Alligator mississippiensis: one gene and its partners. The protein of the gene in region 4 purifies or fractionates together with the protein of the main gene of each other region. This does not show direct contact. Links are inferred from orthologs where the notes say so. Each region holds a gene or a part of one and is shown on either strand. Other genes may lie near its edges.

Region 1 (7,530 bases), on a different chromosome or scaffold from region 4:
ATTGTCAGTACTGTGGTATTAGCAGGCCCAAAAATCTAACTAGCTTCCATCGAGACTTCTGTGGCTGCTATTAGGAATCTTGCAAGTAAGGGAAGCTAGTCAATAACATGGCTAAAATTTGCAGCCATGACAATAAAGGAGAGAGGGCAGCCTGACATGGACTATAGCAGGGGTGGGCAAATATTTCAGGTGGAAGCCCACTTATTGAGTTTTGGCAAGCCATCAAGGGCCACATAACAGGCAGCCAGGGGCAAATAAATATTCATTTTCTAAACACTTCAGGGGCCCTGCGGGCTGGATAGAATGGCCTGGTAGGCCACATTCAGCCTGTGGGACACATTTTGCCCACCCCTGGACTATAGGCTCTTTCAATTCTAAGGCTCCTGGTAGCAGCCCCCGGGCAGCTGCTTCCCCTTCAGCCTTACTGGCCCCAGTTACCATGCAACTAAGTAGCAGACAATCAACTTAAAACTTTATTAGTGAATGTTAAAAAATCATAGTTATTTACATGGCTTTGTAGAGATTAAAGAGAATGTAGGACCCTATTCCTGGTAGCTACATGGGACATAAATTGTATCAGGATATGCCAACTAAGACATGCAGTTGATCACACAGCCAACATGAGCCTGAGTATAATGGGTTTGTCACAACCCAAGGGTGTGATTTTTGTTTTGTGTGCTTTGGCGCCACTGAATTATTTTCCCGCCAATTTGTAGCTTTCTTTGCAGCGTGCATTTCTTCTTTGCAGCTAAGAAATGCACATTGCAAGAAGTTCCCGCCATTTGTATTCTAATTCGAGCCCCATTATTGGCTCGTGTGAAATTATTCACACGTGGCGGCTAGTGATTGGCTTGCTAGCCGTATAAAAAGCTTGAGTGGTTTCCGCCCAAGTTGGAGGACTCCACGAACATCAGGAGGAGGGATCTTCACGCTGTGTGAAGATTTCCAAGCGCTGCGGAGCCTATCGGACCCAGCGCATTTCAAGCAGGCAACAGAGGTCTGATCAACCTCTAGCCTCTCCCTGTCGCCGTTTGCAATCCTCGACGTATCCCTCTCCCTGCGCGCAAAAGGATCCACGGAGTCTCAACCACTCCATGGGAGAGACACGAGCTTGTCGTAGTCCTCAAACGAGGATTTAATCGGAGCTGTGCCTGGAAAACTGTCCAGCCTACACCATGACCATCTTCAGTGTAAGTAAACAATCTTGAATCAACCACTACGCGTCCGTGACTAATTCTAGCACGTCGCCCGTTTTCTCCGATCCAGCGTGCCCGGGCTGCTGGCCACAGCCCGCACGGTTCGAAAAGGGCCCGGATCGCACCCGGCCCGCGTAGGGTTAAGAAGTTCCAATGCCCTGGTATAATAGGAAGAGAGCTAAGACCCCACACACGGTCACTGTACTAGTACAAAGTTGCAAGTTGGCTGGACATTGAGACCATGGATTTAGCCTGCAGTGCATAACTGCCAAACAGCAGGGCCCAAAGATGCCAGGCACTTCAGTTAAAGCAGCAGTCTTCCATAGATGAGAGACACTCTCAGAAGATACCAGCTTCCCTTTCCCTCGGTTTTGGCTGAGGAAAATAAGGCAATTCTTCCCCTGCAGATACCTCAGAAAGACTAGAGCTGGGCAGAATGCTTGCAACACAAGGAATCCCTATGTGAAGTCTTGGGGTTTATCTTGTAAGGCATAGCTAGCTGTGCTAGTCTCCTTATATTCTGCTTTCCACACATCCTGTCACAGCATCTGATGAAATAAGCTACAGCTCATGAAAGTGTGTGATATAATCTCCCAACCACATGAGGTACACCACACACCCCATGGCTGAGAGACTGCAGCTCACGACAAGACTTGCACATACATACAACAGCAGATATGACAGAGGGGAAGGGGTAGTGGCAGTGCACTTGAACTCCTTCTTGATTGCACTCAACCCAAAGTTTCAAACAAAGTGCCTGGCAGTGATAGAAGGATTTCTATTCAGGCAGCAGTGAGGGAGTCACTTGATTTCACAACTCATTATAATTACTTGATTCTTTCTAAACGCTTTATTCCACAGGTATTAACAACCTTATCTTTTTAATGGCCTTAAATGTTCCACTAATCAAGCTATTATTTCTTACACAATTCTTCTGTCTGCTAGCTATTTCTAGTAGTGTAGCTCCTACTCCACAACCCTGCAGACTCTTTTTAACTCTAGCTGAAAACATTAAACTCCAGTGCGGAAATAACTTCTGGGGACCTACTACAAGTGCAGGTAAAGGCATGATGGATGGGATCTAATGCAAGATTTACACAATGATGCCTCCTGCCATGACACATGCATGGCAGAAGGCATGATTGTGGACTGGAAATCAGATCCCACAATTGTTGGTACAGGGGGAGCACAATTCTGGACTCGCCCTGCACCAGCAAGAATCAAGTTCTGACAACTGAAACTACAGCAGCCGGCAGGGCTCCCAGTCACAGAGATGCACCACACACCCAACCTGGCCCCGCTCCTCCAGCTGGGAGACCACAGCCCATGTTCACTCCAATCAGCTGATGGGGCTCCCAGCCACAGGGGTCCTTAGCCACACATTCAGTTCATGGCATGACAGGAAGCAGCCACAAAAGTTATTACACATTTTGTGGGATAGAGGTTTTAGCTGTGATAGTCAAAGAACACAATACAAGCAGTCAGCATGCAAGAGGCAATATCTTTTATTAGACCAACTAGACAGTTGCAAAAAAACAAAAAAAACCCAAACAAACAGCAAAATCTCTTCATTTGCAAGCTTTTGGGCACATGCACCCTTCTTCAGGCATAGGAGAATGCAAAGACGTATTCATGACATTTTCTGGAACAGTTTATTCCTCTTTTCATCACACCACTTATTGATTGAACTTGCAGCCAGGTCAGCACTCAAGGCGTCATTAACCTGTTACTTACACCTGAAGTGTAGTGTAATGCGCAGCTCAGTCCTTAGTGAAGCATTGGCTGCACTGTCAAGATGCTCAAGGCAGCTTGACCTGATTTTACAAATCTGAAAGAGGAGTGCATTCAATCCTCATGACCACAGGCCTAAGGAAACAACATCTTTTGAGTTTTTTTGTTTGTTTGTTTTTTTGCCTAGCACGTCATATTTCTTAATATAGAACATGCAACAAAGACGATCAATACCTGAATTTGTTTTCACTTACAGTAAAGTGAAGGCAATGCTAGGTCTCTCCTTGCCCCCAGCAAAATATCTAATTTCTTTTTTACCTGGAGAAAAATCTGTGTAGCGTTATAGCCCCCTGCTATCTGTCCCCGCTTTGCAAAATCCTAGATCGGCCTGCAGGTGAACACATGCACATGCTAGTTCGTTTCTAAGGTGCAATTCTACCCTACCTTCATCTTGTGATCCACGTGTGTCCATCCCGCAGCCCTACCAGTACACAGTCCCCCTGGGAAGGGGGATCAGGGCACCCCACCCTGACTGAGCGCACCCAGGATAGAGCCCACAAGCTATACAATGGGCTCAGGCACGGGGCAGGCTGGTGCCACAAAGGGAACTGGACTGCACTGGCTCCTTTCATGCCCAAGGGGTAACTGGCAGGTACCAAGAGGCATGTGTGGGGTGTGGGGCGCACAGCTTCCTGCAGAGTGCTGGCCAGCATTGCCAGGTCTTAAGTGTAAAGTTATTGATTTGGAAGCTCAAAATTATTGTATTTGCTGAAAAATTATCACATGCTTTCCACACACACACACACACACACACACACACATCTTCTTATTTACTTCCTATTCCTCACTGCAACTCGAGTGAGTGAGTTTAAGTTGAAGAATTCCTGTATTTGAAGGCAAGTAGTCATAAGGAAGTGCTGACAGCAAAACCAAGAGCCACTTAAGGCTCCCTGGGAATGACTTGGGTTGTGCACGAGGCATCAATTACCTGCCTCAAAACTTCCGTACATTTTGAACACTTTTACTATTACTGATCGCACGTCTGACAAGCGTTGACATTATCGTATAACTACGGTAGCGATGGTACGCCTGGCTCACGCGCAGATCGCGGCTCCACCCCTGCAACGCGAGGCCACGCCCAGGACAAGCCGCCGCTCAGAACGGCTCGCCGCCCAACCGCCCCCCATGGCGCAGGCGCACTGGCCGCCAGGCCCGGGCAGCGCAGGCGCACTGGCCGCCGCCGCGAGCTTGTGCTCCGCGGCGCGCTAGAGGCGAGGGTTACCTTGTCCGCGGGCTGTGCGCGGCGGCTCAGGCCCCGGGCGCTCATGGCCCACTCGGCCCAGGCCGCGGGGACGCCGCTTCGGGGGGAGCAAAGCAGCGGCTCGCCTTGCGCGTCTCCCAGGCAACGCTGCCGCTGGGTAGCGGGTCCTGGAAGACCCTGCGGGAGCTCCCCGCAAAGCAGCTGGGGCGCGAGGGGAGTCCGCTTGTCTCGCACCGCGCGGCTGCCCACGGGCCTGCTGGCTTTTGCAGTGTCTCCGCGCGGGGAGCAAGCGGGACGTAGTGAGGCTCCCCTGCGCGTTTGTTTATGCAGCTGTCAGGACCGCCCCCCCAGGCAGAAGTGCCCTCGCCGCCGCCTCCTGCGCTTGCGCAGGGCTTCGGCTTCGTAGCTTCTGCGCAGGTGCAAAGCGGTCGGTCTTGGGGCGCGGACGTGTGCGGTACGGCTGGTCTCGCTTATCCGCGCCGGGGCCATGGGCAAGCTCAACGTGGTGATGCTGCGGTACCTCGCGCGGGACCACTTCCGGGTGCTGACCGCGGTAAGGAGCGGCCTGGCTGCCCTCGTGGTGCGCCCGGCAGCGCGGCCTGCGGAGCTGAGCAGGGGCTGGTAGGGAATCTTTGCTAGATGGGAGACCGCAGCGCGCCGGGAAAAGATAGGCCGCGGTGTCCCTATGTTGAGATCCGTCCCCTGCCACTGCAGGAGGCTCGCTTTCCCCTCTTGATACAGGCGGCTAGAGCTGGCCTGAATGCCCTGCTCTGCCTGGAAGGCTTCCTGTGAGATTTCATTTCAACTCAGCCATTGAAAAGCAAACACTTTGAGGGAGATGCTTCAGCCTGGCAGCCACCCGTTGTCTCAGCTTTGCGTTGCATTGCATGAGCTGTTGCAGGGCGAGGCTGATGGCCAAAAACACCTGCTCTAATACAGGTACTGTTGGTACCACACATTGAATTCAAATGGCAGTAGCAGTGAGAGCAAATCCTTTGCAAAAACCTGTCCCCGTTTTGGTACTGCTCCCATCGCTGGGGTACGGGACACAAAAGCATCTCCTTAGTAAATCTGAAGCTTCCAGGATCATCAAAGTGAAACTTGGAGAAGAAGGTATCATTATAACACAATGTCTAAAGTTGTGATTCTCAACCAGAGTCCCTTGAGATCTTTTCAAGAGTGCCATGTGTTGGGCTGAAACTTGAGCCCTGCTTCTCAGAGGGCAGGGAGAACTATGTGATTAACCCACAGTACTCATCCAATAAGCAGTCAGAAGCTTAATATTAACTACAAAAATATCCACTAAGTACAAAGCAACTAATCAACTGGGTTTGCCAGTAAATAAGTAGTCAGCTTTACTGGGCTTGCCAGTGTGTAAGCAGGCAGTCACAAAAACTGAGCGTGTTAACGTGAATCTCACTGCATCACAGTCTGTCTAGAGCTGTTACTCAGGAGTCACTCCCCACAGTTAGCCACACTGAGTGAGCTTCCTGGGTTGCGCTGCTCCAAGTCCGAAGGCTTGATCTTCCCTTAGAAATCCATGCAGATGGTATAAATGGCAAACAGCGATCCTGCTTATGCTATTTAACCCTTTAGTGATGTCGCCCTTTCTAATACTAGCCAAGCTTGTTATGTAGTGTTTGGCATATGGATCATAGGTTTACAATAAAACAGCCTTACGCACTTGGAGTATTCTTCTGTTATTTTCCCATTATTGTCCTGTTCCCACACTAATTAATCCCAACGGACACCACGTTATCTCAATTTATTGTTTTATTGTTCTGGATATTCCCTGGCATTTTACTGGGGTTAACTTTAGGCCAATCATTGCCAGTCTTTAACTGAATCATCTCAAAAAGACTTCTGGGAGCTTGGTCAGTTTGACATGACCAGATTTAATTTTCCTTGCAACACCTTGGAGTGCCACGCCATGTTAACACCAGTAGCTGTGCCAACATGATTCACGGGGTAAAACGAGATTTTAGCTAGGAATCCAGTATTAGAAACACGCTGACCCGTGGTAGCTTTCTAGGTCTTTTGCAACAAGAATTGCTGTATTATTTTTCCACACTCAAAAAAAAAATGAAAAGTAACAGTTGGCATTTCCTGATGGGTGCCTTGAGTCAAAAGGTTGAGAACCACTGCTCTAAAGCAACAGAAAAGTTGGGTTGCAGTCACCCAGGGTTTCCAAGCTGGATCCCACTTTGTCGGGCCTTGCAACTCCAATTGAATTTCTCTTAGCAACCCTGGTTTACCAATCCCTAGTTTCAGATTCCCTGCTGTAGGGAGTGAGGGAGAAACATTCATCCTATCATCTGTCACTCCTGTTGGCTTTTAAGTAATGGGTTGTTTCCTAAATAGTATGGAAGTTGCCTGCTGAATTTCCCAAGTATGAAGCACAACCAAGGGCGTATGTTTATATTCCCCCAAACAAGAGGTTTTCCATCTGCATTATCTGTCATTTTCTTATCAAAGAACTGTCTCATTACTGCTAATGCATTTAAACGCAGAGCTAATAAAAGAAAAATGTATGCTATTTACCATGTGGGGTTTGTATCAATTTATCTGCAAAAATAAGCTTAGGCTTGATGTAGAGAATGACTTTACTTCATTAGCTAGTCAAAAAACTATTGTACATCTAACTTTTTTATTTCTATCCCAGGTAGAAATGGGCATGAAGAACCATGAAATTGTTCCTGCTAGTTTGATTGCCTCCATAGCTAGCCTTAAATATGGCGGATGTAACAAAGTTTTGAGGGAATTAGTGAAGCACAAGCTCTTAGCTTATGAACGAACTAAAAGTGAGTACAAGTCCCACACCAGCATTTATATTCTGTTTTAAAGTGTTGACTTAGTTCACTGGTGTAATTGCAGCAGTATTCTGCTGAGTTAAAAATTTAGCCAAGTTACAGGTGTTGCACAGGTACTCTTGCACTTTTCAATGAGGTCTGCTTCTCAGAGGAACCAGCCTTTGGTAGTTCAGTGACTAAGTAGCTGAATACATTTATACCTTCTCTTATCCATTCCATGTACTATGATTTTACCATACATAGCTTACATATATGTAATCCAACAAAGGATTATATCAGGGTGGTCTATCTGTGGCACAAGTGGCACGGGCAGCCTCTGTGTGGGGCACATGGTAGGTCAGGAAGAGGACATGCAGCACAGCAGCAGATAGGGCAGGAGGCTGAAGGCAGAGCAGGAGATGAGATGGGGAGAACAGAGCAAGAAACAGAAAGCAGTTCAGGTAGGAAAAGGCTATTGGAGGGTGCATAGCTAATATGTGGCACTCCTGCCAAAAAGGTTGGTGCTCATTGCATTACTTTGTCTTATTATCAG
Region 2 (7,843 bases), on a different chromosome or scaffold from region 4:
TCCCAGGGCAGCGCCCACTGCCCCCGGAGACACTCACCCAGCGCAGGGCAGAGGTGGAGCTGCTGCCGGCCTGCGAGGCCAGGATGTTCATGAAGGCTTTTGAGGTATCAGAGAACTTCTTCCTCAGCACGGGTGCCGGGACCCTGTGGTGGAGACGGGGGCATCAGCACGGCCATGGGGGAGGAATGCGGGCATGGAGATGGGCAGTGCTCCAAGCCGTCTGCTCCCCCGGCCCCAAAACCCTCCCACTGCTGCCTCTGCCCCCGAGGACACGCACACAGCGCTGCCCTACAAGGCCTGGGACAGCTCTGCCCCCGGGCAGCCGAGAGAGCCCGTGTGCAGGGCGGACGGAGGCACTCACCGCTTCAGCACCAGGTTGAGCAGGTAGGCGACCGCAGCCAGCGACTCCGCAGACTCCACAGCCTCCATCGTGGTCATCTAGAGAAAGGATGCAGGTGAGCCAGGCCTCCCGGGCACAGCCCAGCCTCCAGACAGGCCAAGCCAGGAGCAGGGGGATCTGCTGCTGGCCAAAGCCCCCAGAGCCCTGCAACCACCCCGAGCCAGCTGGGTGCTGCCTGCTGAGGCGGTTGGGGGCACTGGGAGCTGCTCCCTGACCCCTGCACCAGGAGAAGAAAGCAGCCCTCACCCGCGGCTGCAGCTGCCTTGGTCCCAGCAGCGCCTGCCAGGCCCCGTGACCGAGGCACCCGGGAGCAGGGGACGCCGCCAGGATGCAGCCGAGCCCCGAGCCCACGGGGCAGCCCAGAGCCCCCCAGGCAAGGCCTGTCTGTGGGAGGCTACAAGAGGGGACACCGCAGCCCTGGCCTAGCACCAATACAGGGCACCTACCAGGACATGGGCTCGGGGGACCCCAGGCACTTAGAATCATAGAAATGAGGGTGTGAAGGGACCTCAGGGGGTCACATCTAGTCCAGCCCCCTGCTCCAAGCAGGACCAGCCCCAACTACATCATCCCAGCCAAGGCTCTGTGTACCTGGGTTGTGAAAACTCCCAAAGATGGAGCTTCCACCACCTCTCGGGGTAACCCATTCCAGTGTTTTACTACCCTCTTCGTGAGGAAAGTCTTCCTGATATCTAACTTCAACTTCCCTTGCTGCAACTGGAGCCCATTGCTCTGCAGCCCCTTGCTGCAGCTGGAGTCCTGTCATCTGCCCCCACTGAGACCAGCCCGGCTCCATCCTCTTCGCAGCCCCCCTGCAGGGAGGTGAAGGCTGCTATTCAATCCCCCTCGGTCTTCTCTTCTCCAGACTCAGTCAGCCCAGGTCCCTCAGCCTCTCCTCACCAGTCCTGTCCCCCAGCACCAAGGCTGCACTACTGGCTCCTGTTCAGCGTTTTGTCCCCTGTCCCCCCAGGTCCTTTTCTGCAGAGCTGCTGCCCAGCCCGTCACCCCCAGCCTGCACCGGTGCAGGGATCGCTCCCTCCTCAGTGCAGGACTTTGCACTTGTCCTTGTTGAACCTCACGGGATTTCTTTTGGCCCAGTCCTCCAGTGTGTCCAGGTCACTCCGAATCCTAGCCCTGCCCTCCAGCGTATCTACTACATCCCCCAGCTTGGTGTCACCAGCAGACTTGCTGAGGGTGCACCGCATCCCATCTTCCAGGTCGTTGAAGAAGACATTGAAGAAAACCGGCCCCAGGACGAACCCCGGGGCACTGCACTGGATACCGGCTGCCAACTAGACATCGAGCCATTGATCACTACCTGCCAAGCCTGATGCTCCAGCCAGTTTTCTGTCCACCTTGCAGTCCAGTCATCCAGCCCGTACTTCCTTAGCTCACCCGCGACAATGCTGTGGCAGACTGTATCAAAAGCCTTGCTAAAATCCAGGTACACCACATCCCCTGGTCTGCCCCCATCCACAGAGCCAGCCACCCCCTCATAGAAGGCATCAGGTTGGTCCGGCATGACTTGCCCCGGTGAATCCATGACGACTCTTCCTGATCACCTTCTTCTCCCCCAAGTGCTTAGCAATGGATTCCTTGAGGATCCGCTCCGTGATCTCTCTGGGGACTGAGGTGAGGCTGCCTGGTCTGTAGTTCTATTTCCTTTTCTTAGACAGGGGCACTAGCTTTGCCTTTTTTCTAGTCATCTGGGACCTCTCCTGATCACCATGCGTTTTCAAAGAGGACGGCCTGTGGCTCTGCAGTCTCATCAGCCAACTCCCTCAGCACCCGCGGGTGCACCCATCCGGCCCCACGGACGTGCGCACGGCCAGCTTTCCCAAGCAGTCCCTAGCCCGATCTCTCACCGCCGCGGGCCGCTCCCCCCTCCACGCTGCGCTGCGCTGCGGCCCTGGCCTGTCAGACCCAGGCCACAAAGGCCTGGAGCGCTTCGGCCTTTTCTGCCTCCTGTCACCGGGCTGCCTCCTCCCCCGGCCGGAGGCGACCGCGCTGCCCCGTGCCCCTCCCGCTCCCCGCTCCCCGCAGAAACCCCTCGCCCAGGCCGGGCCGGGCCCTCACCAGCGCAGCGAAGTACTCGGTCTCGGTCTCGCTGCCGCCCCGCGCGCGGATCACCTCCGTCACGGCCGCCAGCACGGCGCACACCTGCGGGCGGGGAGCGGCAGGGCAGCACGGCACGGCACGGCACGGCACGGCACGGCGGGCCCCGAGCGCGGCCGCCCCCAGCCCGGCGCGGGGACCCACCTCCTTGTGCGCGGCGGAGCTGGACTCCCAGAGGCGCCGCACGCGGCCGAAGGTGAGGCTGGTGCAGTCGCTGAGGCCGCTCAGGAAGGTGCGCGAGGACTCCTCGGTGCGGGCCTCGCCGCCCCCCGCCGCCGCCGCCGCGCCCCCCGCCTGCAGCTCCTCGTGCAGCCGCACCGCCTCCACCGTCAGCTCGCTGCGCTCGGCGGCGGGCGGCGCCGCAAAGAAGCGGGCGCGGGCGGCGCGGCGGTGCCGGGCGCTGCGGGGGTTGCAGTCGCTGCTGCGCCCCTTGGCCCAGCGCTGCCGCCGCGCCGCCGCCCCGGCCCGCAGCCGCCCCGGCCTGCCCATGGCCGCCGCGATGCCGATCGCCCGACGGAACCACGTGCGGCCCGCGCGCCACTTCCGCCCCGCCCCGCCCCGCCCCGTGCCTTGCCGGCTCAGCCGCCCCGCCCCCGGCCCCGCCCCGTGCCTTGCCGGCTCAGCCGCCCCGCCCCCGGCCCCGCCCCGTGCCTTGCCGGCTCAGCCGCCCCGCCCCCGGCCCCGCCCCGTGCCTTGCCGGCTCAGCCGCCCCGCCCCCGGCCCCGCCCCGCCCCGCGCGTGTGGGCGCCCGTGCCGTGCCGTGCCGTGCCGTGCCGGTGTGGCGGGCGCGGCGGGCGCTCGGCGATCATCGCCTCCGACCCGTGCCTGGACAGCGACAAGCTGGCCCGGCCTCCCCTTGGCCGCCCCCGGGCGGGGGAGAGACGGCGGGCCCGGGGCCCAGGCCGAGTCCTGGCGCCCGCGCGGCGAGGCAGTCTGAGCTGACACCTGTCCGACACCGGCGCTGCCGCCCGTGGCCGTGGCTCCTTGGCACCCCAGCGGCGCCTGCTGAACGGCGCGTCTCCGGCCCCGCGCTGCGTCCCCTCACGGATTTGTGGGCGGCCACGAGCTCCCCTCGGCCGCCTGCTGCGGAGGCTGACGGGTCCGGTCCCTCCGTCTCCTCCTAGGGCTTGTGCAGCGAGCCCCTGACCACGCGACTGGCCTCCTCCGGCCCCCCCAGTCTGCCCACACCCCTCCTGAAGTGCAGCACCCACAGCTGGACGCGGGCTCGGCCTGCGGTCTGACCGCCGCCGCCCGGGGGACGTATCGCCTCCCCGGTCTACTCGTCCTGCGCCTGCCAGCGCACCGTAACGTGCCATTAGCTTTGCGGGTGATGTCACACGGACGACCCCTCTTCACCTTGGATCCACAACGACTCCGAGACCCCTGTCCGCTGCCATGCTGCCGAGAGGGTCGCTCCCACCCAGTCGGTGCGCTGGGTATGTTTGCGCCCTCGGTGCGGCGCTCTGCACGTGTCCTTGTTGCGCTGCATCCTGTTGTGCGCTGCCCACTTCTCTAACCTGTCCCGGTCTGCCTGCAGCTGTTCCCTGCTCTCCGGAGCGTGCCCTTCACCCCACAATCTAGTATTGTCCGCAGACTTGGACAGAGCACACTTCTCACCCACGTCCCAGTCACTGATGAAGACATTGAAGAGTACAGGTCCAAGGACCGAGCCCTGCGGGACCCCACTGCCCACACCCTTCCACGTCGATACCGACCTGTCTACTACCACTGTCTGGCTGCGACCGCTAAGCCAATTCACCACCCACCAGACCACGTAAACATCTACGTCACGGCCTCTTCATTGATTTATGAGACTAGGATGAGATACCGTATCGAAGGCCTTGCTAAAATCCAAGAAAACGACATCCACCGCTACTGCTGCATCCAAGCATTTTGTGACCCTGGCATAAAACGAAACCAGACTGGTCAGGCGTGATCTACCTGCTACGAATCCCCGCTGCTTGCCCCGCTGCATCATTTTTCCCACTGGACTCCCGCAGATATGATCCTTCATAATCTTTTCAAAGACCTTTCCAAGGCTGGAGGTGAGACTGACTGGCCTGTAATTACTTGGATCTTCCTTCCTCCCCTTCTTGAAAACAGGGACCACGTTGGTCCTTTTCCAGTCCTCCGGGACCTGCCCCAAGCTTCCCGAGCGCCCAAACAGCCGTGCCAGCGGCTCTGCTACGACACCGGCCAGTTCCTTGAGCACCCTTGGGCGCAGCTTGTCCGGGCCTGCCGACTCGAACACGTCCAGTCCATCCACGTGACTCTGCACCAAGTCAGCGTCGAGGGTTGGCGGGCTGGTGTCCCTCTGGTGCCCGTCTAAGAGCCCATTAAGAGACTTATCTTGAGCCCTGTTCAGGAACACCGAGGCAAAAACTCCGTGAAGAGCTCAGCCTCGTCCCCCCATCGGTCACTAATTGCTCCCCTCATTCAGTAGGGGTCCAAGAGACCTTGTTCCTCAGCACGGACGCCTGGGCCCTGCGGTGAAGACGGGGGCATCTGCACGTCCAATGGCCGGGGGGAGAAGGCAGGACTCAGGACCAACTGCTCCCCCTGGCCCTGAGACCCCCCTCCCACTGCTGCCTCTGCCCTGTGCCCACAGGGGCCCTGAGCACACCCCAGCCTGGGGACCGTGACACCCGCAGCCAGGGATGGTGCTGATCAGCTGGACACCCCCAAGCATCTCCCTGCAAGGTACCCCGTCTCCCCAGGGCTGTGACGCCAGCAGGCAGGACCGCAGGTAGGATGGGCTGTGACAGGACGCCTGTGGGCACCGCACCGGGGACGTGGCGCTGCCTGATGCAAGAGGTGCTGCCTGTGAGAAGGGTCCAGGCCTGCCAGCTCCAGCAGTCCCGGGCCGGCGCAGCCCAGCAGGCAGCAGCACTCGACACGGCCTGGGTTACACTTCCCACTGCCAGCCCCAGGGCCAGGGGCAGCACCCTGGCACCAGGCCCCTTCCCTGCGGGGTCTGAACCCCGAGCGCTGTCGCTGCTGCGTTTGCACACCCAGGAACCCGCCCTGCCCTGCCCGGGCTCACCCCCAGACAGCAGCAGCAGGAGGGCCAGGACCCCCACGCTGGGCTCTGCACCAGCCCCGGCCCCAGAAAGACCCTGCTCCAGCCCCCCTGCACCCGGGACCGGCCCCGGGGCCTCCTGCGCTGTGCAGGGGGGCTGAGGAGGGGAGGGGGGTACGGAAATGGAGATGGGCGTGCGGTGCAAATTGTGTAACCGGTTTTTGTGGTTTAACTGTCATAGCGTGCTTCGGTCTGCCCCGTGAACCACAGCGGTCACTTGGGAGGGCGCTAGAGGTACAGTTATGTATATGTAACCAGAGACTGAGAGCCACGGGACTCTTCAGCCTGGAAAAGTGCAGGCTCGGAGGGGACCTGATGGCCCCCTATAAGTTTATCAGGGGTGTTCACCAGGAGCTGAGGGAACGATTGTTCACCAGAGCGCCCCAAGAGATGACAAGGTCAAACGGTTATAAACTCCTCCAACACTGTTTCAGGCTGGACATAAGGAAGAATTTCTTTACTGTCCGAGCCCCCAAGGTCTGGAACAGCCTGCCGCCGGAGGTGGTGCAAGCACCCACTTTGAACACCTTCAAGAACAAACTGGATGCTTATCTTGCTGGGATCCTATGACCCCAGCTGACTTCCTGCCCCTGGGGCAGGGGACTGGACTCAATGACCCTCCAGGGTCCCTTCCAGCCCTAGTGTCTACGAGATATATTTGCAACCCCCCGAGGGGTAGCACTTCCATGAATGTCACGGTAGCAGTGTATCTGCTCTGGGCAGGCCACTGCGGCCAAGAGCAGCCTTTGCATCACCGCACTTTCACCCTCCCTTCCTTCCTCTGTAATCTGCCCCTGGGGAAGGCGTTTGTCTGCATCTGCTGCTGCCAGCCGAGCAGAGTGGGGCACGGGTACCGCGTGGATGGGAGACCCAGGCCATGCCACATGTTACGTACATGGCGCAGTTCATTGCTGAATTACAGGATAAATGCGGACTGGCCACACACGCAAAGTCAGGACCATAGATGAAAGTCTGTACAACCCCCAGCTGTGAAAAGAGCCAAGCAGGGACACAGCAAGCGCTGCAAGACCTGCCACAGCCCCAGGGCTGGTTTCTCTCCAGGTGCCAGCGGGTCCGTGTGGGGTCACACGTGGGGCAGGCGAGGGCACAGGCCCAGCCTCCCCCCAGACCTGCTCCGGCCTTGCCCAGGGCCAGGGGAGGAGAGGCAGACCCCCCTGTAAGGCCAGCGCTAGGTCTGTTGGGGGTCACAGCTGTGCTCCTCAAAGGCCCCCGAGCCTGGGGAGCCCAGCGCCAGGCAGCCGGGCCTGGGCTCGCAGCAGCTGCTCTGGCAGCCCGGGCGCCACGAGGGCCGGGCACCCAGCGCAGACCAGACTCACATCCCCTGGACCACGAGGGAGGTTTCAAACCCACCCCTGCAAGCGGGTGCTGAGGGGTCGTGGCTCCAAGCTGCCCTCCATCCCCGGACTGTGAGCAGGTGGACTCCACTGCCCACCTGCCCTGGGCACCTGGAGAGCTGCCTGCACCACCACAGCCCTGCACCCCTCCCGGGGCCACTCCCCCCCAACAAGGCTTCTCCACCCAGGGACCTCCTGCCACCTCAGTGGTGCCCCCTCCACTGGCGCTGTCTCTGCTGTGTTCACACAGGCCCAGGACCCCCGCGTTGGGCTCTGCACCCTGCACCCTGGCCCCAGAGAGACCCTGCTCCAGCCCTGCCTGCACCCAGGACTGGCCCCAGGGCCTCCTGCGCTGTGGAGTGGGGCTGGGGCAGGAGCGCCCATCCAGGCCCCCACGAGCAGACTCACGCATTGCCCAGTGCCCCCCAGCCATGTCTCTGTGACCCACCCACAGCCCCCAGGAGACGGGGTCAGAGCCCAGAGCCCTGCCCCAGGCCGTTGCCTGGGCCGCAGAAGACCCTGAGTCCCCCTGCGTGGCACAAGGCTGGGCAGGAGGGCACAACCCCACCGGCCCCGTGCTGGGCATCCGACTGTACCAGAAAGGGTTTTGATGCATCCGACTGTACCGGCTCTGACTGTACTGGAAAAGGTTTTGAAAAGTCTGGGGTGTACACCACGGGGTGCACACACATTGCCTCCTTGACCCACCGGAAGGCTTCCTCAGCCTCTGTTGTCCAGCTAATCCTACTTGGGGCCGAGTCCTTGGTAAGCTCGGACCGTGGGGATACGTCCAAAAGTCAAGGTATTAGACGGCGGTAGTAGTTGGCCAGCCCCAGAAAGAACCACATTTGTCTTTTTGTTCAGGGCACGTTATAAGCCCTGAAGGCCTGCACT
Region 3 (7,377 bases), on a different chromosome or scaffold from region 4:
TGTATACAGCTGGGCTTAAAAGAAGAAATCAACAACAGTAAGTTTTATTAGCTCATCTATTCTTGTCACATCCATAGCAGCAACCAAAGAGAAACAGTTTGCATGCTCCAACTCTGTGAATGCAGCTATGTATTTGCAAGCTGCAGAAATATATAAACCAAGCATACTTACAGAGTGATTGTGAACATAATGCCAGGACATGACTGATGGAAAGTTCAGGCCAGGATATAGGTTATACCTACCCAGTAAACTTGCATGCCCAGCAGCAGCACCCTCAAGCAAGGTGTGCTGTTTCAAGGAGATTGCCACCAAGGCTATACCCACTTCTTTTCTAGACCTGAAGGTTGTTTCTGAAAGGTTATCTAAGGTATCTCCCAATCATTTGGTTTGATCCAGTAAAAGAAGTTATGAAACAAATCTTCCCTTTTGTTTCAACTAGATATAGTGTGGCCACACCTGTGTGGCTCTGTGAATGTGTGTGTGTGCATGGAAGGGGGGGGTGAAGGAGAAGGGCAGGGACAATTAGCTGTCCTTCTTTCAGCAATAATAATTAGCCAACCCACAGCACTGCATATAAACACACAGTTGCTTCTCTTAAGGAGGCTGTCAGTCCGGAATTGGGCAGTGTACCTGAGTGCCAATTTCAGGCATGGCAACTTAAGCAGAAACTTCCAGAGAAACAGACATGTGGAAATTCCTTAAGACAAACAGAGTTTACCACACTTTTAAAAAAAAATGTCTGATCATAAATACAACAATAGCAAAGCTGTTCATAGAACAACCAACTGCCACATCATCACCAGGGATCCTGGTTTTCTCTGATTTTAAAAGTATGCCCAATTTTTTAAACTGAAAATTAGGGATTTTTTTTTTTTTTTAAATCAGAGAAAACCAGGATACCTGCCCATCACTGCGTCATCCAATAAACCTCCAGAACCGTGCTTCATTCTGGATTCCTCACAGTTCTAAAGCAGTCTTAACTTACTGAAATAATCTTCTATTGCTGTCAGTACAACTGACTGAAAAATAGATATATACGCTGACAAATATTTTCAAAGTTGTTCCACCTACTGAAAATCCTGAAGGGTGAGAATGTTGTCAGAATATATTAAGCATGAAAGTTATTGTATAAATCTAATCTTCTCTGCCTTAATTAATCTTAAATATAAATCAAACGTTATATGCAGCTTTAGGAATAAGACTCGCTGGCTGCTAGCATGAGTTTTTAATACTGCTTGTGTTTTGAAATGTTACACCTTGAAATAACACAGAATGAGGGTTCCTGTTACACATTCAAATTAAAGCTGGATAGAAACCAGCTATAAAGTTGGAACGCATTTTCAAGCTCTAACTTTGTAGCTGGTTGGTTCTTTTTACAGTTGGACAGACATTTTTATGGCATGATAACTACTTTGCCTGTGTGGCCAGAGATACCCGAGGGTAAAGTAAACACCACAGTTGTGAACCAGCTCTGAAAACACTAGTACAGGGGTGGGCAAAGTGCAGCCTGCGGACCAGATGTGACCCTCCAAGTCATCCTATCTGGCCCCTGGGGCCCCTAAAAACTTTAGAAAATTAATATTTATCTTCACCTGGCTGCCTGTCATGCGGTCCTCAATGGCCTGCCAAAACTCAGTAAGCAGCCCTCCACCCAAAATAATTGCCTGCTCCTGCACCAGTAGAACAGAAGTGTTCAAAACCTGGATGCCCTTTCCCATAGGAAGTATACTTCTAGATTGTTTCAAAGTGGACATGAAACCCACTGGATTGGAAAAGAATGAATTCTACTTCCAATTATTGCCTATACAGAGCCAGAAATAAAAAACTTGCACTACCTTCATATACCCCACTGACATCTGTTGGACATCTGCAGAATGTAATGGTAATATATAGCCTATCTGCATATAATAAAAATGAGCTAATATTTGCTCCCTACACTAACACACAGCTACAGATCGCGCGCTACCGTTATTTCTAACCGGTCTGTTCCTTACCCCCACTTCCAGGGCCACTTTGAGTTTCTGTCCATTTTCTCATACTGACACCCCCCAACCTTCAGCACGTTGTCAACTGCTGCTATTTCATACTCTGAAAGTAGCCCATGCCTTTGTTTAAAACACATCTCCCATTCTCCCAGTGGCAACATTAGCCTTCTGGTGTGGCTCCTAACGTTTGTTGCTCTTCCGACTTGGGAAACAGGCAGCTAGGGGAAAGCTCAGGTAGAGTTGATAAGAGCCACAATTTATGAAGCAGTGCCAGTGGCACCCATGAGCAGATCTAGGACTCAGAAAAGTGGGGTGGGCACAGGGCGAGGTGCCTCATCCCATGAAACAAGTTTTTCTCCAGTTAAACTAGAAGCTCCGCTATTATGCCGGGGGGAGGGAGGGGAGAAGATGCGTTTTATCTGATATTTGGAAATGAATGCTGCAAGAGACCTCAGGAGGTCACCTAGGCCCACAACCCAGGGCAGTGGGTGACGTCCCCCTGCACCCCCCCCCCGAAGCGTCCCGCGCCCGTCGCGGGGTGGGGGATGGGACGCGGGGGTTCCACAGCTCTCCCTTCTCCCCCCGCCCCGCTGCTCACCATGGCGCGAGGCCCGCAGCGCGAGGGGACTGAACACAGGCCGCACGCCCCTCACATGCAACTCCCGACCGCCGCCGCCATGTTGGAACGAGCTAAGTTCCGCCTTTCGTGGGGGGGAGGGGAGGAAGATTAAACCCCGCCACCTCCGTTTGGTCGGCGAACAGCCATCGTCAGAGATGGTAAAAGGCGCCGTGGAGGGTTTTAGTGAGTGTTCAGCGCAGAAAAAAGGACTAAGAGATAACGCGTCATTGTTGCTGCCCCCTTCCGAACCGGCACGAATGGTTCGGCCCACTCCGCTAAAGCAACGAGGGAAGGCATGGGAAGGGAGAGGGGCTAAAGGAGGAGGTGCATGCGCGGAGCAGACGCTCGGGCAAGGTTCTGGATGCCGGCGCGCTGAAGTGACGTCAGGCACCGTTGGGGAGCGGAGCAGAACTCACCGCACCGTTCGCTCCTCCTCCAGGGTGGCTATGGTTGGTCACTGGTGGGCGCATGCGCTGTGGGCGCTGCTGGGCCCTGGCTTTGGGTTTTGCAGTCCTTGCAGTTACTGCGGCTAGAACCTCCGCCTCTCCGTGACGTCACAAAGCCGATCATGGGGGCCGGCGAGCCCATTGTCCCGCCCGCCTACCCAGGTTGCTGGGTGCTGTTCGAGTGGGCGCTTCTCGCGGGACGGCCAGGCTAATTCGGATTTACTCCTCTTCCGGCTGTGCGTGTAAAGGGCTGTCTTTGCCTCTGGGTACGACTCAGGCCTCGGGAAAATCACGCTTCAATTGTTGTTAGTCCGATGGGCCTGGGGTTTGACCCGCTTCTGAGTGGGGGCAGCACAGGCGTTTGCACGTGTGGTCTTCCCCAGCTGCCCCGCTGCCGGGGAGAAGGGCGCAGCCTGGATGGTGGCCCTGGAAGAAAACACTAGCTCTACTAGCTCATGCTAGTGTGAGGCCATGGCACAGGAGAAGCGTTAACACATTTTATCCTGCATAGTTCTAAGGGATTTGAAGTGTGACAATGAACCATGTGCCTGCCTGGTCTTGTCACACGAGGCTTTCTTCCTGAGCCAAAGGCCTCACCTGTGCATGGTGTGGGAGGGGGTACTGCTGCGCTATTTGTACCCATCGTTTCACAGGATCTGATGAAGTGAGCTTCAGCCCAGGAAAGCTGGGGGTACATCTCTCCAGCTGAGTCCAAAAGAACAGAAAACACTATCTGCTCTAAGTTACATCAATGGAAAGCCAAATTAACTGGTCTGTGAAAGGGCCTGCACAAAGCAGCGTTTAAGGAGGGCCCCCCCAGGTAGTAAATAGATCAAGCATTTGCTCTGGGACGCGGCCCCTATGTATGTGTAGGGCTCATGTGTTTTTCCCTGGAGTGAACTGGCCAGGCTTGCACTTCTTGGTAGGGGAGCAACATACGTACACACACACTTTGGTTACTCTGTAAGGTGTAAATCTACCCTGCCTTCATTCTGTTTCTTTCCTCATCCTGCAGTTCTGTAACCTGCAGTGAAAACGAGCGACAAGTGTACAGGAGAAGTGGTTTCCTGGTGTAAGAAACCTCTTTTCCTGTACGTGACCCACCAGTGCTGAAGCAAAGGGAGGGGCGAGTGGGGCGACCACGCCTGGTGCCAAAGTGAAGGGACGCCAGCGGGCGCTGCCCAGCCAGGGCAGGGCATGGGACAGCTGTGAGCAGCTCAAATGAGGGGGTGCGGGGACAGGGGAAGGGTGGTTCCCACTGCTGGGTGCACTACCAGGCAAGGGGTGGGGGCACGTGCCCCCCTGGATCCATGCATGGGGCAAGGGTGGGCTGCCGCTGCAGGCTTTGCCCTGGGTACCAAACTTCCTTGCTATGGCACTGTGACCCACCACTGATGTCTTCCGTTTGAGAATGACATGACCCTCTGCAAATCTCCTTCTCTTTAGTTTCCTAATTATCTCCTGTTCTTGGGCTTTCTACTCATGATGTGGTCTGCTCCTCTGTGCTTGCAGAATGGCGCCAAAAAGCCTCCATCTGCCCTGTCAGGCCACGTTGAACTTCAATTATAGGTCAGGGTTTAGCATGAGGGAGAAGAGGGCAAATCCCCTCACAAGCAAGTGGGTAGAGAGGCAGTAAGGAAGGATGGAGTAGCCTTGTTAAAGTATTAATGCTGGTGTGGGGAGAAAAGAATAAAGGAGTGTCTTCTTTGGTTCAAGGCATAAACCCCCAGTTGATCAGTTCAGTCCATAGGTTAATACTGGTCTTGGATTCCTTGCTCTTGCTACGTTCAGACAGAGTAGCATCCACAAACAAGACTTTCTGCCAGCATTGCATAGAGGCTGTCTCCCAACCTAGTTGATGAGGATCTAGTCTTAGTTATTTATGCCTTTATTTCATTTAGCTGCACTACGGCAGTGTACTGTGCCTGGTTAAGAAATCTTCAGCATTTAGGAAACTGGAACTACTATAGTGCGTGGCATCTGGTGAAATGAGTTGTTGACTAGAAAAGTTGCCTGAGCTAGGCAACCTTTAAGGTATTACCTTGCCCTACCTTCAGCATGGAATTAGCATAAAATAAAGCAACAACTTTCAGCAATGCAAGTTACTATGAGTATATCTGATCCGTATCTTTGAATCTTTACGCTGATTTTCCATAGCATAACAAATCAAGTGCTAGTTCTTGGTCTTTACCTTCTTATCCATGGTCCCAGTTTAGAATATTTTGAAAATTGTTTAAAACTTCAGGGCAGATGCTGTGCTTGACAGCTTTGCTTGTCAGGCACAATGAAGCGTTCTAGTAAAGGGGACAAACATCTGTATAGAGACAGAGCTTTCTCTGGGGCTGATCTCATGCAGGATGATCGCCTCAGGAAGTAAAGGACCATCACAACATGCACCCCCATTCACTTCAAATGTAAGATGTATTTCTTTAACTTGACCACCTCTAACATAAATACAAAAAACAAAATGCAAACAATCTGCATACTACAAAAACAGGAAATTCCACTGCATATACCTCCATTTCTAGGGAGTGGATGAGTAAACAACACCATGTGACAGATGTTAGTTGCATTATGTAGTGCAGATACATTTGCAGAAACTCTTGTAATGAGGTATAAAAACCTGTGTAGACTAGGATAGGTACTAAAGATAGCTATCTGTCTTTATATATATTTTAGAGGATTGGATATATCTTTAAATATAAAATGTATTTGATAATTTGGATCGGTTAATAAAGTTAAAAAAAAAGAGAATAAAATGGGCACAATAAAACTTCCCTCCTTGATCTGCCTTGGAGTCTGAAGAGTTGTTCCTCAGAAGGATCTCTCCAAGGCACAAATCTTCTCTGGTGCAGCTACTTATCAGTCCACATTCAGGAGTGAGTTTAAAGGCTCAGTCTAACCTAATGCATATCAGTTTTATTTTTCGAGCTCTTTAGCCATATTGAATAATGAGCTCTTATCTTCTATACTACTGATACAAACTCTGCGTATCTATACTATACACAGATAAAGATGCACAGACCGTGCTCTTAAGAAAAACGTACTTGAAGTTGTTCCTCCATTTGTTTGGTCAGTGTTGCTCTCTATGTATGGACACTGTCATAGTATTGTCTGTGCTGCTGATGCTGTACACAGCATGTGTTCCTTTGAAGACCTTGATGTTATAGGAAGAATGACCTTTGGCTCGATTTGGTGGTAAAGGCTTAGCCAGTTTCATTACTTAAAGCACTTACTAATTAATGCACATGGCCAGATGGTTATAAGGACTTAGCCCTGGATACTTGTGGCAAGATATTAGCGCAATTCACCTGGGTAAATTCGGCACCGTTGCTGCAGGCTAAAAGTTCTAAGGGTTTCCTGTTCCCCTTATATACATTGATCAAAACAACTTTGTTTACCTCAGACTGTTTACATCAGACATTTCCTGTATCATGTATTTTAACAGACATTACCATTTTTTCCTGGATCACTCTAATCTTTGGACATCCTGTTGTTATCTTGTGTGTTCTGACCCCTTAAACAGTCAGCCTTGTCAGGGGTCTTTGCAGTCTAATCTTACAGGCATACATTTTAGGGTTTTTTTGTAAACCAGTGGTGTTCAACCTCTGGCCTGTAGGCCAAATCCAGCCAGAGGAGCAGTGCCATCCTGCCTTGTGGGGCTCCCCACAGGTCTGGAAATTTTGGTAACAGGGTTGTCAGTGTTAACCACCACTTCCCTGCTGCCCAATTTTCAGGCCTGGGCAGAGCCCTGGGGCTTGGTGTGCTAGATTACACTGGCATGTGGGTTGGGCTGACGTGTGACCAGATTGCTTCTGTGGATTGACCTCACACATAGGATCTGGCCTGTGGACCACCCCTGTACCACTTACTCAGCAGCACAGGCTGGAAGATTGAGTATCACTGATGTAAACAGTGTATACATCCTGTTTTGGTCAGTGCTTTAGTAGAGCCGTTATGTGAGCAGTAAATGCCCTGATTAATGCTTGTATCGATCAATACTCCAGCAAGACCTACACCTGATATTTCAGGACTACAAAATAATTTTTTTTTTTTAGAAGGAAAGTGTGAATCACAAAACAGGAGACTTTCTTACCTTCAATACATCTAGAGATTATAAAAATGAATTTTAATTGGTTATTAGGAAATTAAGAGATGACATTTAAAAGTACTAATCAATTTTAATTTTGAGCAGTCTACATTATCACTATCTTGTAAGTATAACAGAACACTATTAATTCAGTTTCAATTACCTATAGTGTATATTTCAATATTTTTTCAGTAGATGTCGCCAGAGCTTCAGAAGCCCGTATATTTTTCTCTTTCT
Region 4 (6,921 bases):
TCTCGCCCCCAGGCGCTGCCGGACTTCAGACAAGTTCCCGAGCCAGGATGACATCCGCGCTGCCGAAGCGGGGGCTCCCCAGACCCAGCCCTTCGTGGGGGGGTGCCGGCAGGGGGCTCCCAGGCCCCTGGCAGGGACTGCATGGTTCCCGCTGAAGGAGGCACGCACCTCCTTCAAGATGTGGAGACACAAGCAGGTGAGTCCATGCTGGGGCCTGCAGCTGGCTGCCGCAGAGACCTGGACCCTAGAGGTCTTGCTGCTGCTCCAGATGGCTGCCCCCAGCTCTGCCACCCGCGTGGAGGCGGTTGCGGCCGCTCCCCTGCTGTGGTCTTCCCTGCAGCAGTGCCAGCACCCTCCCAGCAGCAGCAGCGAGAGGCCACACGGGTGCTCTGCCCCATGTGGGGTGGGCAGACCAAACGGGTGCTCTGACCTGTGCTTTCCAGGGCCTGGCACGTGTCCTGCAGGGCGTGGCCCTCATGGAGCTGATCAAGGATGGCAAGCACGGTCAGTTCTACCGCGCCAGGCTGAGCACAGGGAGCCACCGGGGACACAAGCTGGTCACCTGCAAGATTGGCCGCCGGGGTGAGGAAATGGTTCCATCTTCTCCTTCTTCCAGAGCCCCAGCCCAGGGCTGAGCTGGGCACCAGAGTGGGAGGTGCAGCATGAGTGCCAGCACTGGGCAGAGCTCGTCCCCGCTTTGGCCCTGCCATCCAGAGAGCAAGCCCAGTAAGCTGCCCAGGGCATTGCTGTGGACTCTGGCGCCTGTGCCAGGGACGTGGGAGCACCTTAGAGGCGGCAGAACGTAGGGGGTGGGGGCAGGACTGGCCACCCGCACAGCCGAGGGTGGCTGTGCTCAGCCCCTGCTGTGTGCCCATGGCTTCCCCAGGCCTGCCAGCAGCACGAGTGGAGCTGGAGGTGAGGATCCTGACGACGCTGGGCCACCACAAGCACATCCTGCAGCTCCTGGACTGGAACATGGAGCAAGGTGAGGGGAGAAGGAGAGGAGTCCAGCTCCTCCCGCCGATGCTGTGACACCCTGCTGGGCCACGGGGTCCCTGGGTGACCCTGGGCAGGTCTCTGGGTCCTGTCCATCCAGGGGTGGTTGCTCAGCCCTGCCTCGCCTGGCACAAGTGAGGACAGAGGCCTGCAAGGCCCTGGACGCTTCTGCTATGTCAGGTAGGCCATGAGCCACCAAGGCTACTGGCAGCAGGGTAGAGCCACCCCTCACTGCAGGGAGGAGCAGATGGGGCCTTTCAAGTGCCTTGGTTCAGCGATGAGGTGCGAAGGGCAGCGGCTGCTCTGGGGCCGTGCTGCTAAGCCTGGGGTCCACGTGGCACTGACCTGCTGCCACTCCCTTTGCAGAGCCCTATGTGCTGATCCTGGAGCACGCCGGCCTTGGCACGCTGCGCACCTTCCTCCGCTCCCGCCAGGAGCAGCTGCGCAGCTGTGGGGACCTGCAGGCTCTGCTCACCATGGTGGCTTACCACATCTCCCTGGGCATGAAGCACATCGCTGACAAGCAGGCAAGTGCTGGCAGGTGGGTCCACAGCTCAGGGGAACCCACAAGTCTGGGCGAGCTGCAGGATGGGGGGGAGCAGAAGGCAAGGTCTCGCCTGGCTGCTCAGACGCTGGCCCTGGCCTGTCCCCACAGGTGCTGCATCGGGACCTAGCACTTCGCAACATCCTGGTCAGTGCATTCCCGCATGGGTGCAAGATTGCTGAGTTCGGGCTGGCTAGGGAGCTGGGCCATGAGGGCCCCCTCCGGCACACAAAGGTAGGAGGCTGCATCCCAGCCTCTGCCGAGGCAGGCACGGACGGTGGACCAAGCTCTGAGCTGAGCTCTCCCAACTGGTGCTGGCCTCTGGTGCTCCTGCCTCCCCTGCCATGAGCTGTCTACATTACAGGTGGAGGTCCCCTTGCGCTGGTACCCCCCGGAGTACTTCCGAGAGAGCATCTATGGCCTGGCTGGTGATGTCTGGGCCTTTGGGATCGTGCTGTGGGAGATGGAGATGCTAGGTATCGCTCCAAGAGCTGGGCCCCACTTGGGTTTCATGTGGGGGGTGCACGTGTGTGCGCACACGTGCAGGGTGTGATGCCCAGGGCACAGACGCTCTCCTGGGACCCTGCCTGCTGGAATCAGCTTTGGGCATAAAGAGTCGTGCTCTGTGTGAGCTCCTGCGGGCCAGCACGTGCCTCTGGGAGTGTTGTCACCTGGGGCAGCCGAGCAGGGAAAGAGGAAGCTGAGACTGCCTGGCAGTCCTCACTTGCTTGGCTTGGTGGTGAACCAGGTCCCTCAACCATCTGAGCATAGTGTGAGTGCATGTGCTGCTGTGTGGACGAGGACAGGAACGTTGGGAATAGCCCTGTGCTGGGAGGGGAAAGGTCTGATAGGAGGGGACGGGGTCCCATTGCCTGCAGCAAGAAGGGTATAACACCCGGCTGGGCTTGGGCCAGTGCCCTGTCCAGACTGGCAGGGACGAAGGCAAGCCTCTGTACAGCTGGGTAACCTCCCCGTCTCCCCTTGCAGGCTGCTCCCCATACCCGTACCTGGACAACTCTGAGGCAGTGATGTTCCACGTGTGCTCGGGGTACCGGATGAGCAGGCCACTTGGATGCAGAGAGCAAATGTGAGCAGGGCTCTGCCTGCCTCGGACAGGGGCTCCTGGCTGGGGAAGGGCACAGTCCAGGCAGCAGCAGGTGGGGGAGAAGGGCGAGGGCTGCCTCCTTGCCCCCAGCACAGAGGGTGGGCCTGGGCCCTGGGGCATAGCAGCTGTTGCCCTCGGGCTGTGCTTGGGCCTGACTCCCTGCTGTGCGCGCCCCAGTGCCAGGCTCATGGAGCAGTGCTGGGCGGACGACCCCCGCGAGCGGCCGTGCTTCTCCGCTATTGTCCAGGAGCTGGAGGACATCGTGGAGGAGGATGCGGTGAGAGCACTTGCCCTTTAAGGACCTTGCTGTCTCCCTTCCAGGCTCTGCTGCTCCCCGCTCTCCTCCCCAGCACTTTGGGGCTGGCCTGGAGTCTGGGGTAGTCGCTAACCCATTGGGGCCGGGTCTGGCACCAGGCAAGCAGCTCCTGCTAGAGCACGGCCTGGCTCCGAACAGCGGCACCGGGACCGACCCCAGGGCACTTTGCCCAGCGGGCCACAGGCCGCTGTGGGGATTAATAGCCCCTGGGGGTGCCTGCAGCTGCTTCTGCACTGCTAGGTGCTGAGCAAAGTGAAGGGCTAGCGCTTTGACCCGTGCCAGGCACGGGGCCCCGGCTGCTACTCGCCCCAGCTGATGGCTCCTGCCCCTTGTCCTCAGGACTACCTACAGCTGGAGGACAGCGGCCACCCGCAGAGCCCTTCCCTGCTGCCAGCCTCTCTGAGCACAGCGTGGGGGCTGGTGGGCGACAGGGACGCCAGAGCCGGGCTCTACACCTGAGCAGCCGCGGGCTGGGCACGGACGGCTCCGCTGGACCGGGGCCCGCCGGCAACACTGGGGACCGGAGCGGGGCGAGGACAGCGCCGGGCCGGGGACGCGGAAGGAGAAGCTTCGCCGCCTGCAGCCCGGCCGCGTCGCCCTCCTGGGGCCGAGGGACCTGCCGCCGGGCTCGGGCTCCGGGCAGCACCGCCTGCCCCTCCCGGGGCAGCGCCTGACGCCCACGAGCTGCGGACACGTGTCACTCCAGACAGCAGCCGCCGCGGCCGAGACCCGGGCGGCGACGGCTGCGAACAAATAAACCGTCTCGCTGCCTCCCGGCCTGGCCTCGTTTCCTCGCCGCGGGGCCTCCCAGGGGCGGGCCGCCCGGCCACGTGCGCCGGAGGGGCACCCGGAAGCGGGGCGGAAGTGGGCGAGCACCACTTCGGGAGAGGGGCGGAAGTGCGGGCTGTCCCGGAAGCGGAAGTGTCGGGGCAGCATCAAGATGGCGGTGCCCGGCGCGGCGGCCGCGCACCGGCCCGGCGCTCTGAAGCAGCAGAACAAGCCGCACAAGGGCGGGAGGCACGGGGGGGGCGCCCAGCGCCGCGCGCCGGGTGAGTCGCGCCCGCTTCCGCCTCCCCCGGCGCCACGTGGCTGCGGGCGCGCCGCCCACGTGCTGCGTTCCCGCCCGCGCTCACCGCCGCTTCCCCCGCAGGCCGCGTCCCGGCCCCGGCCCTGAGCCGCCGGCGGCGCCGCGACCTGAGACGCCAGGACCGGCGGCACCAGGCCCTGCAGCTCCGGCGGCGGCGCCGGGAGGCGGTGAGCGGGGCTGGGTGCCCGGGGCGGGGGGCGGGACGGGGCGGCGGGAGGCCTCACGCGCGGCCGGCTGTGTCTGCAGGTGCTGGCCGAGAAGCGGCTGCTGGGCGGCGCGGACGGGCCCCCGCACCTGGTGGCCGTGGTGCCGCTGCACGAGGGGGCGCGCGGCCCGGATGCCCTGCGCCTGCTGCGGAGCGACGCCGCCAACCTCGTGGTCTCGGAGGCGGACGGAGCCCGCGGCTTCACGCTGCTCTGCCCCCGGCTGCGGCAGCGATGGCGCTTCGTCTTGGCACCTACCAGTAAGGGACCCCCCCTCCCCGCGGGCTGCTGAGCGCTCGTTGAGCGCCCGCTGCTCAGTCCTAACGATCGCCCCGTCTGCAGGGGACTTCCACGCGGTGCTAGACCTGGCCAAGGTTGCGGACTCGCTGCTGTTCGTGCTGCACCCAGAGGACGGCTGGGACAGCGCGGGGGAGAACTGCCTCTCTTGCCTCTTCGCACAGGGGCTTCCCAGCTGCGGTAGGTGAATTGCCAGCCTCAAGGCATGCACGGAGCAGAGCAGGGAGAGACGTTTCTAGGCAGCACATGCAGCGACCCATAGGCCTGTTGGGCAGCTCTTGGTTCTGGCTGCGTGAATGCCGGCTAGCTGGGCGAACGCTGTCGCTCTCGCTCCAGGAGCGTTGTCTGTCTGGCTAACGGCAGTGATGCCGAGGCATGAAAACTGCCCTACACCCAGGGTTCTGCCCGCTCATTATATCGAACCGTGTTTTAGCTGGTTGACTGTGGGTAGCAGAAGTACTGGCTGTTAACGCTGCTGTTTTCTGTGCTGCTTTTTAGCTCTTGCTGTCCAGGGAATGGCTGATCTTCCACCAAAGAAGCAGACAGAGGCTAAGAAGAAGCTGAGCAAAGCCATTGAAAAGCGATTCCCAGAGGCAAAGCTTTTCCCCTTGAACACAGAACAGGAATCTTTGCTGCTGCTGAGGCATTTGGCCGCCCAGAAGCAGCGGCACCTTGCTTTCCGTGACAGGCGGGCTTACCTGCTTGCCCATGCCGCTGAGTTTGTGCCCAGCCAGGAAAGTGACCTGGTTGGCACCTTGAAGGTATCTGGCTTCATTCGGGGACAGCCCCTCAACGTGAACAGCCTTGTGCACATTGTGGGACAGGGAGACTTCCAGATGAGTCAGGTCGATGCGCCTCCAGACCCTCTGTGTCTCAACCCCCGAGCGGCTAAACGTCCAGAGAGGAAGGGCCAGGATATGGAAATACAGGTGGGATGCTGTTCTGGGCTTTGCTTGGCCTTGCCAGCCCAGTTTGCTCCTTGCTGATTAGAAGCCTTGGGGTGGCTGCTGCAGGCTTTGTGCAGCACACCTGGCCAGCTTGGGAAGAGAGGAATTGACAGGCTGGAGGTTTGTGTAACTTCAGCCATGAGAGCTCTGGGTGGAGCGCAGCGTCTGTCTTGGGTGCGGTGACATGGGGTTGCTGAGGTTGGAGGTGGCTGTGGGGTGATCTTGTCTTTGCTATGAGCTGGTCTGCTGCTGGAGTGGGCTGGGCTCACACGGGGGGGCATCCCGGCTTCCTTCTGCTTTCCAGGATGAGCCTGGAAACAGCGCTGTCCAGATGGAGGAGGATGTGAAGGTTTTGATGAAGGCGGATCCCAGCAGGCAAGAGCTGCTGCAGTCGGAGGTGGTTCCGGACCCCATGGAGGGGGAGCAGACCTGGCCTACTGAGGAGGAGCTGAAGGAGGCAGAGGGTCAGTAGCAGTAGTCCTTCCTGGGCTTTCCTGCAGGCTCTTGGGGGTGCACTTGTTTTCTCTGAGATGCTTGGGTCGGGGGGAGGGGGTTTGCTAGTCCCAATGGAAATCATTTGGCTTAGAAATCCGATTCCTCTTCCCAGCCATGTCCTTTGGCTTTTGGATTGCCTGGCTTACTGCATTTGCCTCTGGGCTCAGGCTGGCTGGACAGCTGGACTCAGGCCATGGTGGTGTAGTAGCTGAAACGTATGTGCAGTAGCTGAGTCGGGAAGGGGAGCTTTCTGCGTGTTCCTCGGGTGCGTGCGGTTCTCCTGCAGTCTGGCATCATGGTTCATGTTCCCTGAGTCCCATGGAAGCGCAGGCTCTGTTTACTGGCTCTCCTGTGTAGTGAAAGGCACCTTGTGAATCCTTTCGCATGCTTAAAGCACGTCCTCTTCGTGTAGCTGCGCTAATGCGTAAAGGGAAGAGAGCAATGGCAGCCTAGGGCTGGCTTGGCTCTTCTGGTGCAAGGGGAAGGAGAAGCCTGAACAGTGCTAACGGGGCTGGTAATCTGGCAGAGGCTGTGAAGGAGAGAAGGAAGACGGTGAAGGTCCCCAAGGGAACGTCGAAGTACCAGGCTGCCTGGATTGTGGATGACGAAGAAGATGGCAGTGAGGAAGATGAAGATGGTGACAGCATGGAGGAGGATGACTTGATGGAGGAAGAGGCTTTTCAGGTAAGCGATGTAGGTGATGTTGCACCTGGTGTCTGAGCGCTGTGGTACTTGTCCCAAAGCACACCTGTATTCTGACAGGAAGAGGGAGGGCAGACTGAGAGCCACCCAGGTTCCCAGTCTCCAAGGGGTAAAAGGAGTTTAATCCCCGTTGCTTGCCTGCTCTCCCCTGAGCTCTGTCTGGGGCTCCCCTTGGCACTGTGATAGGCCGGCAGCCCCTGCAGAGCTGCGCAGATAGCATCTGCAGGTG

Evidence for each region.
Region 1: the proteins of TSR1 (region 4) and RIOK2 fractionate together in Homo sapiens (co-fractionation; 3 studies listed by BioGRID and IntAct, with this or other methods). This does not show direct contact. The link is inferred for Alligator mississippiensis from reciprocal best matches to the Homo sapiens genes TSR1 and RIOK2.
Region 2: the proteins of TSR1 (region 4) and RRP12 purify together in Homo sapiens (affinity purification with mass spectrometry; 3 studies listed by BioGRID and IntAct, counting the BioPlex papers as one, with this or other methods). This does not show direct contact. The link is inferred for Alligator mississippiensis from reciprocal best matches to the Homo sapiens genes TSR1 and RRP12.
Region 3: the proteins of TSR1 (region 4) and LTV1 purify together in Homo sapiens (co-immunoprecipitation; 4 studies listed by BioGRID and IntAct, counting the BioPlex papers as one, with this or other methods). This does not show direct contact. The link is inferred for Alligator mississippiensis from reciprocal best matches to the Homo sapiens genes TSR1 and LTV1.

What each region holds. Positions count from the first base shown.
Region 1 is NC_081826.1:238,078,963-238,086,492, forward strand, and holds the start of RIOK2 (serine/threonine-protein kinase RIO2), read left to right. Parts: upstream 1-4,508; 5' UTR 4,509-4,512; coding exon 4,513-4,741; intron 4,742-6,850; coding exon of another isoform or gene 6,851-6,854; coding exon 6,855-6,989; intron 6,990-7,530. Other genes in the region: uncharacterized protein LOC102560227, read right to left, coding at 4,210-4,254. UniProt on the Homo sapiens protein: Serine/threonine-protein kinase involved in the final steps of cytoplasmic maturation of the 40S ribosomal subunit. Involved in export of the 40S pre-ribosome particles (pre-40S) from the nucleus to the cytoplasm.
Region 2 is NC_081829.1:100,665,361-100,673,203, forward strand, and holds the start of RRP12 (RRP12-like protein), read right to left. Parts: upstream 3,020-7,843; 5' UTR 3,005-3,019; coding exon 2,660-3,004; intron 2,561-2,659; coding exon 2,477-2,560; intron 439-2,476; coding exon 362-438; intron 144-361; coding exon 38-143; intron 1-37.
Region 3 is NC_081824.1:124,111,769-124,119,145, reverse strand, and holds the start of LTV1 (protein LTV1 homolog), read right to left. Parts: upstream 3,090-7,377; 5' UTR 3,075-3,089; coding exon 3,021-3,074; intron 2,958-3,020; exon of another isoform or gene 2,587-2,957; coding exon of another isoform or gene 2,584-2,586; intron 1-2,583. UniProt on the Homo sapiens protein: Essential for ribosome biogenesis.
Region 4 is NC_081837.1:868,625-875,545, reverse strand, and holds the start of TSR1 (pre-rRNA-processing protein TSR1 homolog), read left to right. Parts: upstream 1-3,886; 5' UTR 3,887-3,901; coding exon 3,902-4,010; intron 4,011-4,111; coding exon 4,112-4,215; intron 4,216-4,294; coding exon 4,295-4,511; intron 4,512-4,593; coding exon 4,594-4,728; intron 4,729-5,046; coding exon 5,047-5,477; intron 5,478-5,799; coding exon 5,800-5,959; intron 5,960-6,516; coding exon 6,517-6,674; intron 6,675-6,921. Other genes in the region: uncharacterized protein LOC109285919, read left to right, coding at 13-196, 444-582, 887-985, 1,363-1,537, 1,652-1,670. UniProt on the Homo sapiens protein: Required during maturation of the 40S ribosomal subunit in the nucleolus.